Oryctolagus cuniculus: one gene and its partner. The protein of the gene in region 2 interacts with the protein of the main gene of each other region in a biochemical or structural test. Links are inferred from orthologs where the notes say so. Each region holds a gene or a part of one and is shown on either strand. Other genes may lie near its edges.

Region 1 (3,689 bases), on a different chromosome or scaffold from region 2:
AAACCCAGGGTAGGCTAGAGCTTTGAGTGCTTCTGCAGGTTGTTGTCCACCTCCTTCTCATACCAGTTTTTTCTCTCTAGAATTCGGCTCATCTCCCTAGCTGCCCAGAAATTCATCTCAGATATTGCCAACGATGCCCTACAGCACTGCAAAATGAAGGGCACAGCCTCTGGCAGCTCCCGGAGCAAGAGCAAGGTGTGAGGGGAGGCTCACTTAACCAGTAATTACCCTCCACAGCAGCGGAGGCTTAACTTATCCTGAGAGCCCTGTGGGGAAACTAAGTCCCAGGGGAGGTGTAAGGCTACTCAGGATCACCCACCTGGGACTTCAATCTCGGATTCCTGTGCTCAGCTGGTACTCTTCCCTCTTCCCTCAGGACCGCAAGTACACTCTAACCATGGAGGACTTGACCCCTGCCCTCAGCGAGTATGGCATCAATGTGAAGAAGCCGCACTACTTCACCTGAGCCACGCAACCTAAATGTACTTCTCTATCCCCATGTCCCCACACCAGCCTGTTTTCGTAATAAACTTTATTGTGACAGGCGGGGCTGATCCCTCCCATTCTGGGAGACACCGTGTGGCAAGTGACAAAGCTCTGAGCCCAGCCCCTTTTGGGGCCACAGTGGTAGGGATGGGGGCAGAGGATGGGCCCCATGGCTGGGGTAGTACCATGACTGGAGGCAGGGGAGGCAACCAGAGGCCTACTGCTTTGGGGAGTTACACTCCCCCAACCATGTCCTGACACCTTGGAGTTTCAGCAAGGACCTTGCAGTTCTATTTGTCCTGCATCTTCTCCAGGATAGGCACAATCATGTCAAATTTGGGTCGCTTAGCAGGGTCTTCATTCATGCAGATCTTCATGAGCTTGCACACATGGGGGGAAATACCTGGTGGGATGGTGGGCCGAAGGCCTTCCAGTGCCACCTGCGAATACAAGGAAAATTAAGATGAGCTTCAGAATTTGAGTGTGTCATACAGGAAGAGACCTCTGACCCTTGGGACAGGATTATGTATCTGAACAACTGTGGGTAGAGCTACAATTATTGTCACCACACCCATCTTTTCTGCCCCAACAGAAGGGTATGCACATCTGCTCTCACCTTCATTCCAATCTCCATATTGGAGAGGTCAGCAAAAGGTACCTCTCTTGTCACCAGTTCCCACAGAAGCACTGCAAAACTCCACATGTCTGCTGAGCGTCTGTTTGTGTCTTCAGGCTTCTTCTGCAAAGCTGGAGAGATAGGGCTTATTTGTTCCAGCTGCCTAGCCTGTCCTGTCTCTGCCTTCTTCCACTGCTACTCAGCTGGTCATTCTCTACCTCCCAATGCAATGCCCTCACCCACCTTCAGGGGCTACCCAGGCAGGTGCATACATGCGTCCAGGGCATTGGAAAGAGAACTTGACATCGGCCATGCTGATCCGGGCAGTCATGTCCTCATCAATCTGGAGAAGATAGGTATGTGGAAGGTGAGTCCTATTCTAGGTAGGCAAAGGGCTATTGGGCCTGGGCCAGGAGTGAACTTGTGGCCTCACCATTACACTACGGCTATTGAGTGCATGTCGTGGGATGAGGGGCTCTAGTGTGTGTAGGAATGCCATGCCCCTTGCCATGTCCAAAGCAAACTTCACAGCTTGGCTCTGGTCCACGACAAAATCTAAGAAGAGACAAGAGTCAAATCACTTGGAGAGGCTCATGTACCATTCCTCATCCCTATCCCAGTGAAACTCAGCATCCCTACTCACTGGTGCCTTCATGTAGTACATTGTAGAGGGATCCATATGGCATCCAGTGCGTAATGAGGGTTGGGTGAGGAGCAGGTGGAGACTGGCAGGCTCCTAGCACTGGGAGAACATTTGGATGCGAGAAAATCCTGGGAGAGGGAGAGAGTGTGGCTGAGAGCTAGTATAGAAGTCATCCCCCTCAGTGCTATTGAAGGTTCTTTGGAACCAGTAGCTTGCAGTTTAGGCCTTGCCCCACCTGAGCCGAGGACACTCCTCATTGAAGTCTCTGCTCTTCCTTGTACTCCAGTCTCGAACCTTCAGCACCTTCACCACGATGTCATTGCCCTGCCAGCGGCCCTTCCACAACTGAAGGACAGGTAGGGATTAGGAGGCTTTAATTAAGGCTGCACGTCTTTGCCCACTAACTGGAGGGAAACTTACAACAGGTGTAAAGCAGGTAACTTGAGTGCAATTAAAGAGAAAAGGGCAAGAAAGGCAGAGGTCACCTCTCCTGAATGATTCTCGTTGAGCTTCGCCAGAAAGTTGAGCTGTTTGAAGTCAATGCCAGAGTGCTTGTTCAGAGTCCCATTTCCTGAGAATTAGGGACAGGTCAGATATCCAGCATCAACCCTGACCCAGCCCGAGGAACCCATGGTAATTCTCCCTTACACCCCTCCTCCTCCAAACAGTGACTCACGGGGCCGAGTGCGGGTGGTCCCCTTCCAAAATGTGTCCTTGTATGGAATACGGTTCAGATTCTGGCCCATCTTCTCTGCCCGCTCTGGGGGGAAAAAAACCAGTCTTAGCCTGAGCTGTGGTAGGGACGGACAGGATGACAGACGCTGCGGGTGGGAGCTGGACCTCGGAGAAGCTCTCTTAGGGGTGCCTTCGCTTTGTCCACAGGCATCTCTCCATACTTGTTACAGATGCTGACAAGGGCCCCGTTAGCAACCAGATCCTGGAATGAAAAGATAGTTGTAATGAGGACCCCTGCTATTTCCCTAGCAGTCCCAGCCAACCCCCCCCCACACACACACACACAAACACACATGCTGTGTACAACCCCATAAATTATCACACAGTAGTGCTGACAGGTTAAGGGTTCCAGAGTATTCCACTCAGGATCAGAGGTTGCTTCTCACCAATCCAAGGACTCACCTCTGCCACTTGGTCTTGGCCCCAAAAGCAGGCATAGTGCAGGGGCACATTCCCATGCTCATTCACTGCATTGATGTCAGCTTTGTACTGCAACAGCTGGGCCCCATGGCCAAACAGAGAAAGGCACAGTCAGTCTAAATGAGCTCTCCGTATCAGGATGTGTGAAAAGGAAGAAGAGTATACACTTTCTACTGTATATTCCAGTGCCTGTGGTGGACCTTATATGGCATGTATATCATGTGGGTGATGGAGGGTTCATACATACCTTCTGTACAATATCACGGTGTCCATGGCTGGCAGCCAGGTGCAGGGGGGTATCATCTCCACGGTTCATCACATTGATCCGTGCGCCCCGCATGATGAGCATCTCAACCACAGCAGAGCGACCCTCTCGGCAGGCCCAGTGCAAAGGGGAGAAGCCATGATCATCCCTTTGAAAAAGGGGCAATGGTAATTGGGTTGGATGGGGCAAAGGCTTTTATTTATGAAAAAATAGTCCTATACTCTCTGGGAAGGCGTTTTTAAGGACTTCAGTTCTCGTTCAGTTCCCAAAGCTGTGCAGGTCAGCCCTCGCCCTGAGCTTCATGCCCAACCCATGACCCAGATTAGATAACCCAGTGACTCAGTTTCTTCCCTGACAGACCCTATTTCATTGTTTCTCCTGCATCCCTTTTGCAATGTCTGTTGGTCCTGTTTTTTGCTGCATCTTGTACCTCCTCCTACTGTAGCACTTGCCACACAGTATTGTAAAAATCTGTTAAGGAACTGCCTTGCCTGTTAGACTGTAAGTTTCTTGAGGGACTGACA
Region 2 (4,089 bases):
CGCTTCCAAAGGAAGGATCTGGAACATCCTTCAGTAGAAATAACCGGGGAGTGCAGGGGCAGAGCCTGCAGGCATGTCTCTCCATGACGACGACGCTGTAACCCCACAGTGGTTCCCTCTACTTTTTGGTGACAAACCTCTGGCATCCGACTCAGCATCGCTGCGTTCACTCCTTTTTGGGTTCCAGTCCTTTCTCAAGGCTCTCACCTCCTGGCCCAGAGGTGTCGATGAACCAAAGTGTGTTTTGTTTTTGTCTGGCGGGTTTCCCTTCGAAGTGTTTGGAAAGCCATGAGGCTTTGCAAACCGGGAGCCTTCGTAGCGGATCTTACCCGAGGCTTCCTGACCTATATATTTTGAGCCGTGCACTGGCCAGCGAAGCGGTTTCCCTGGTTCGCTGTTTGTGCACAGAGTTCCCTCGGGATCGAGGTCGGCACAGGGGGCAGGGGGAGGCAGGGAGGCCGGAGGCCGGCGTTGCACCTTCCGTGCAGTCTTCCCTGGCCCTGCAGGAGCCACCGCAGGGCCTTCGCGGTGCGGTGCAGGACCCATCTTCGTAACAGGCGGCTGGTTCTCAAGCTGTCCAGATTCGCACCGGAGACTGGACAGGCCGGGGACACGCTTTGGCACCAAGGGTTTTCCCTGCCCTCAGCCCGAGCGAGGGGGCCCGCCCGCCACTCGCCCCGGGCTGCAGCTTCCCAATGGGTTAAGGCCTCGTGCAAACTCCCGGGGTCCCGTGGGAGTCGCTGACCGTGCCGGTCACCCATGGCACAGCGACGTTTGTGGCTCGCCTCCCCCACCCCGGGTTTTCTCCTCCTGTCGCGGCATGTTCGTGGAGCCGGCTTGGGCGCTCACTTTTTAAAGTTTTTACATCCCCAACTCGGCCCGCCGGCTCCAGGGAAGCGGCGCCCCTCACCGCCCCGGGACTCTGGGGCGCGTTCCAGGCCTGGGGAGGAAGCGGCAGGACTTTGTTCCCCGAAATCTGACGGCTCTGGGGATTCCCTGCGGCCACTTCGCCGCGCCGAGCCCCATCCTCCGGGCGGCCGCCGGCTCCCTCACGCCGCGGCCTCCGGCTGGCGGAGGAGCGGCCCGGACTCCCCCTCCTCAGGTCCCGCCGCCGAGAGCCCGGATGTTGGATTCCATCCCTGCGCCTGGTCCTTCATTTCCATAAAAGGGCAGCGCTCGGCGGGGCTGAGGTTGCCACCGCCGCCGCCGGCGCCCCCCGCCGCCCCCCGCCGCCCCGCCCCCAGCCCGGAGTCCGCGGCCCCCGCCCGGAGCGCAGCCGCGGGGAGGGCTGTGGAGGGGCCGAGGTCGGCCCCAGGCGCTCCGGGCCGCTCTGCGGGGCGGAGGAGGAGGAGGAGGAGGAGGAGGGAGCCGGCGAGCCCAGCCCGGACCGGACGGGCTGAGGGGGCGGGGAGAGAGGGGTGGAGCGCGCGGAGCCAGGCTGGGGGCCGCGGCGCCGGGACTCCATTAGCGGCTCCGGCCAGGAGGCAGAGCTGAGCCGGCTGCGGAGCGGGACGCGGACGCCGCCCCCGCGCCTGTTGCGGGCGAGCCCCGGGCCGGGTGCGCGAGGAGCGCGCGGTGAGGGGCCTGGACGGGGCTGCAATCTGCTGGGGAGCGCGGGTGGGGACGAAGACTGTGGAGCCCCCGGGCAGCGTCTCCCCGGGCCGGGCGCGGCCGGGCGCGGCCGGGCGGCAGGCAGGGGACGCCGCTGCGCTCCGCTAGGCGGGGGCGGCGTGGGGCGGGCGGGGCCGCGGCCGCTCGGGGCCGGGGCGGGAGCGCGGAGCGCCCAGTGCGGCTCCGCGGTGCTCCCGAGTTTGCGCGGGAGCCCCCCACCCCACCCCCAACACCGGGTCCTCCGGCTTCCCCAGCCCGGCGGCCGACGCCGCGAGCACGGTGGGCTTTGCCTTCGTTTGGGGGAGTGACGCTTACGAGAGCCATTTCCTCCGCGCGCGCAGGAAGGAGCCATGGCTCTGGACGGGATAAGGATGCCAGATGGCTGCTACGCGGACGGGACGTGGGAGCTGAGTGTGCATGTGACGGACCTGAACCGCGATGTCACCCTGAGAGTGACCGGAGAGGTGCACATCGGAGGGGTGATGCTGAAGTTGGTGGAAAAGCTGGGTGAGTAGCATCCCGGAGGCGTCCGGGAAGCGACTGGCGGGGTGGGGGAGGGGTGGGAGGGAGGCGGCGCGGGGGGGAGGGGCGGGTGTGGAAATCTTGGCGTCTCTTGGATACTTAAAAAAAAAAAAAAGTGAGATCTGTCAATATTTAAGCGAACCGACGCGGTTCCCTTGGCGTTTTGTTTGGCTAGCTCTGAATTTTCGGAATGTGGTGCTTGGAGCCCCTACTTAGAGACTTCATTGCGTAGTTGGGCTGGGGGCGGGGAGCTCCTTGATTCTTTGCATTCGCCGGCTTCACGTGGAAAGAAATGGGCAGGGTCTGCAGGGTGGCGGTGCGGGGCGTGTGGTTACCCATGTCTGGCGTGTTGGCGACGCTTGGCATCGGGAGTAACGCGAAATCCACGTTAGAAAGCCGCCCCCCACCCGGGGAGATAGGCGGGTGCTGGCGTCGCTGGGCAGTGGCGGTGGCCCGGCCGGCCGTGCGCCCCTGCGAGGGGTGGGCAGCGGCCGAGCGACTTGGAGTCCCCACCCGGTGCTCCAGCGCGGCTATTCGGAGCATTCGGTTTTACATTAACGAGCCAGTGGGAGAACCGTGTTCAGAAGCAGACGGGAAGGCTGCTTGGGGGTTGACAGTGTTCGCCCGAGTCCAGTCCCTACCGGGTGGCCCAGGTTGAAGGCAGGGTCTCTGACAGCATGAAACTGGAGGAGGTTTCCCAGTGCACGTTCTGTCTGCCATGAAGGAAACCGTTTTCCGCGGTAGCTAAACAGCTGGTGTTCAGAAGAGACTTCCCCAGTTTTCCATATCATGCACTTGTGGTCAGGTCTTTGTAGGTTGGGTTTTTCACTTTGAGGGTGTGTGTTTTTGTGTTTTTGGCTTTTTTTTTTTTTTCTAAACCACACTGCCAAAGTGGAGAAGCATTGATTAGGAAATGTGTTTCTTACCAAGGGAGCCTTGCGTCCCTACCATATAAACTTACTGCAGTAGCTCTCTGGGGCGCTGTGCCCAATACGGCAGGGTTCACAGGAGCACCCGCCTTGTGGCTTTGCAGAAGTTTCCTTATGCACAGACCCGAGAGAAGCACCTCACAAGGTTGCCTCTGTGCTGTTTACCTGCCTGAGACAGGGCCAGGACCTTCCCCCACCCCCAGCCCTTTGGCAGCTAGATTTTGCTGTATTGTTTGTTTAACCAGTCCGCTCTCTGTGGGTTAACAGTGTTTTTTGTATGATTTGAGTAAATCGATGACTCTTTGCAAAGTGTCCATGGATCAGTTCAGCACTGGTATGAGGGCTGAAATATCACCAAATATAATTGTCCGTGTGTCCTCTGTTTTCAAGGGAAAGAGCGTTTGTGTCAGAGCTTGCCTTGTTTGTGATAAGTGGACCTCACTAATAACGTGGGTTTCAATAGGCGGTTTCTTTCACGTTGCGTGGAAGGAGCTGTTGAAGGTGACTGAGGCAACCTGTAGTTCTCCAGAGCCAGGCTTTTTTTTTTTTTTTTTAATTTATTTTATTTATTTGAAAGGCAGAGTTACAGAGAGAGGGAGAGACAGACAGAGAGGTCTCCCATCCACTGGTTCACTCCCCAAATGGCTGCAACTGCCAGAGCTGGGCCAGGCCAGAGCCAGGAGCTTCATCCGGGTCCCTCATGTGGGTGCCAGGAGCTTCCTGGGTCTCCCATGTACGTGCAGGGGCCCAAGCACTTGGGCCATCTTCCACTGCTTTCCCAGGCACATTAGCAGGGAGCTGTATCGGAAGTAGAGCAGCCAGCACTTGAACTGCTTCCATAAGGGATGCTGGTTCTTCAGGCAGTGGCTTAACTTGCTGTGCTACAATGCAGGCCCAAAAGTCAGGCTTTAACTAATGAATAAATAATGGTCTTACTATATATGTATTGCATTGATTAGAATCGTCTATTACAGTCAGTCATAAATAGAACTATAGAGAATAAACTATTTGCCATCAGAATTGATGT

The links. The genes of interacting proteins can lie anywhere in the genome.
Region 1: the proteins of FERMT2 (region 2) and ILK form a complex in vitro, tested with the Homo sapiens proteins (2 studies listed by BioGRID). The link is inferred for Oryctolagus cuniculus from reciprocal best matches to the Homo sapiens genes FERMT2 and ILK.

What each region holds. Positions count from the first base shown.
Region 1 is NC_091432.1:60,282,947-60,286,635, forward strand, and holds the end of ILK (integrin-linked protein kinase), read right to left. Parts: intron 3,314-3,689; coding exon 3,148-3,313; intron 2,979-3,147; coding exon 2,883-2,978; intron 2,683-2,882; coding exon 2,586-2,682; intron 2,506-2,585; coding exon 2,422-2,505; intron 2,317-2,421; coding exon 2,231-2,316; intron 2,091-2,230; coding exon 1,981-2,090; intron 1,874-1,980; coding exon 1,746-1,873; intron 1,658-1,745; coding exon 1,536-1,657; intron 1,446-1,535; coding exon 1,346-1,445; intron 1,234-1,345; coding exon 1,103-1,233; intron 927-1,102; coding exon 777-926; 3' UTR 518-776; downstream 1-517. Other genes in the region: TAF10 (transcription initiation factor TFIID subunit 10), read left to right, coding at 81-195, 377-466. UniProt on the Homo sapiens protein: Scaffold protein which mediates protein-protein interactions during a range of cellular events including focal adhesion assembly, cell adhesion and cell migration.
Region 2 is NC_091443.1:23,419,203-23,423,291, forward strand, and holds the start of FERMT2 (fermitin family homolog 2), read left to right. Parts: upstream 1-1,282; 5' UTR 1,283-1,575; intron 1,576-1,952; 5' UTR 1,953-1,961; coding exon 1,962-2,118; intron 2,119-4,089. UniProt on the Homo sapiens protein: Scaffolding protein that enhances integrin activation mediated by TLN1 and/or TLN2, but activates integrins only weakly by itself. Binds to membranes enriched in phosphoinositides.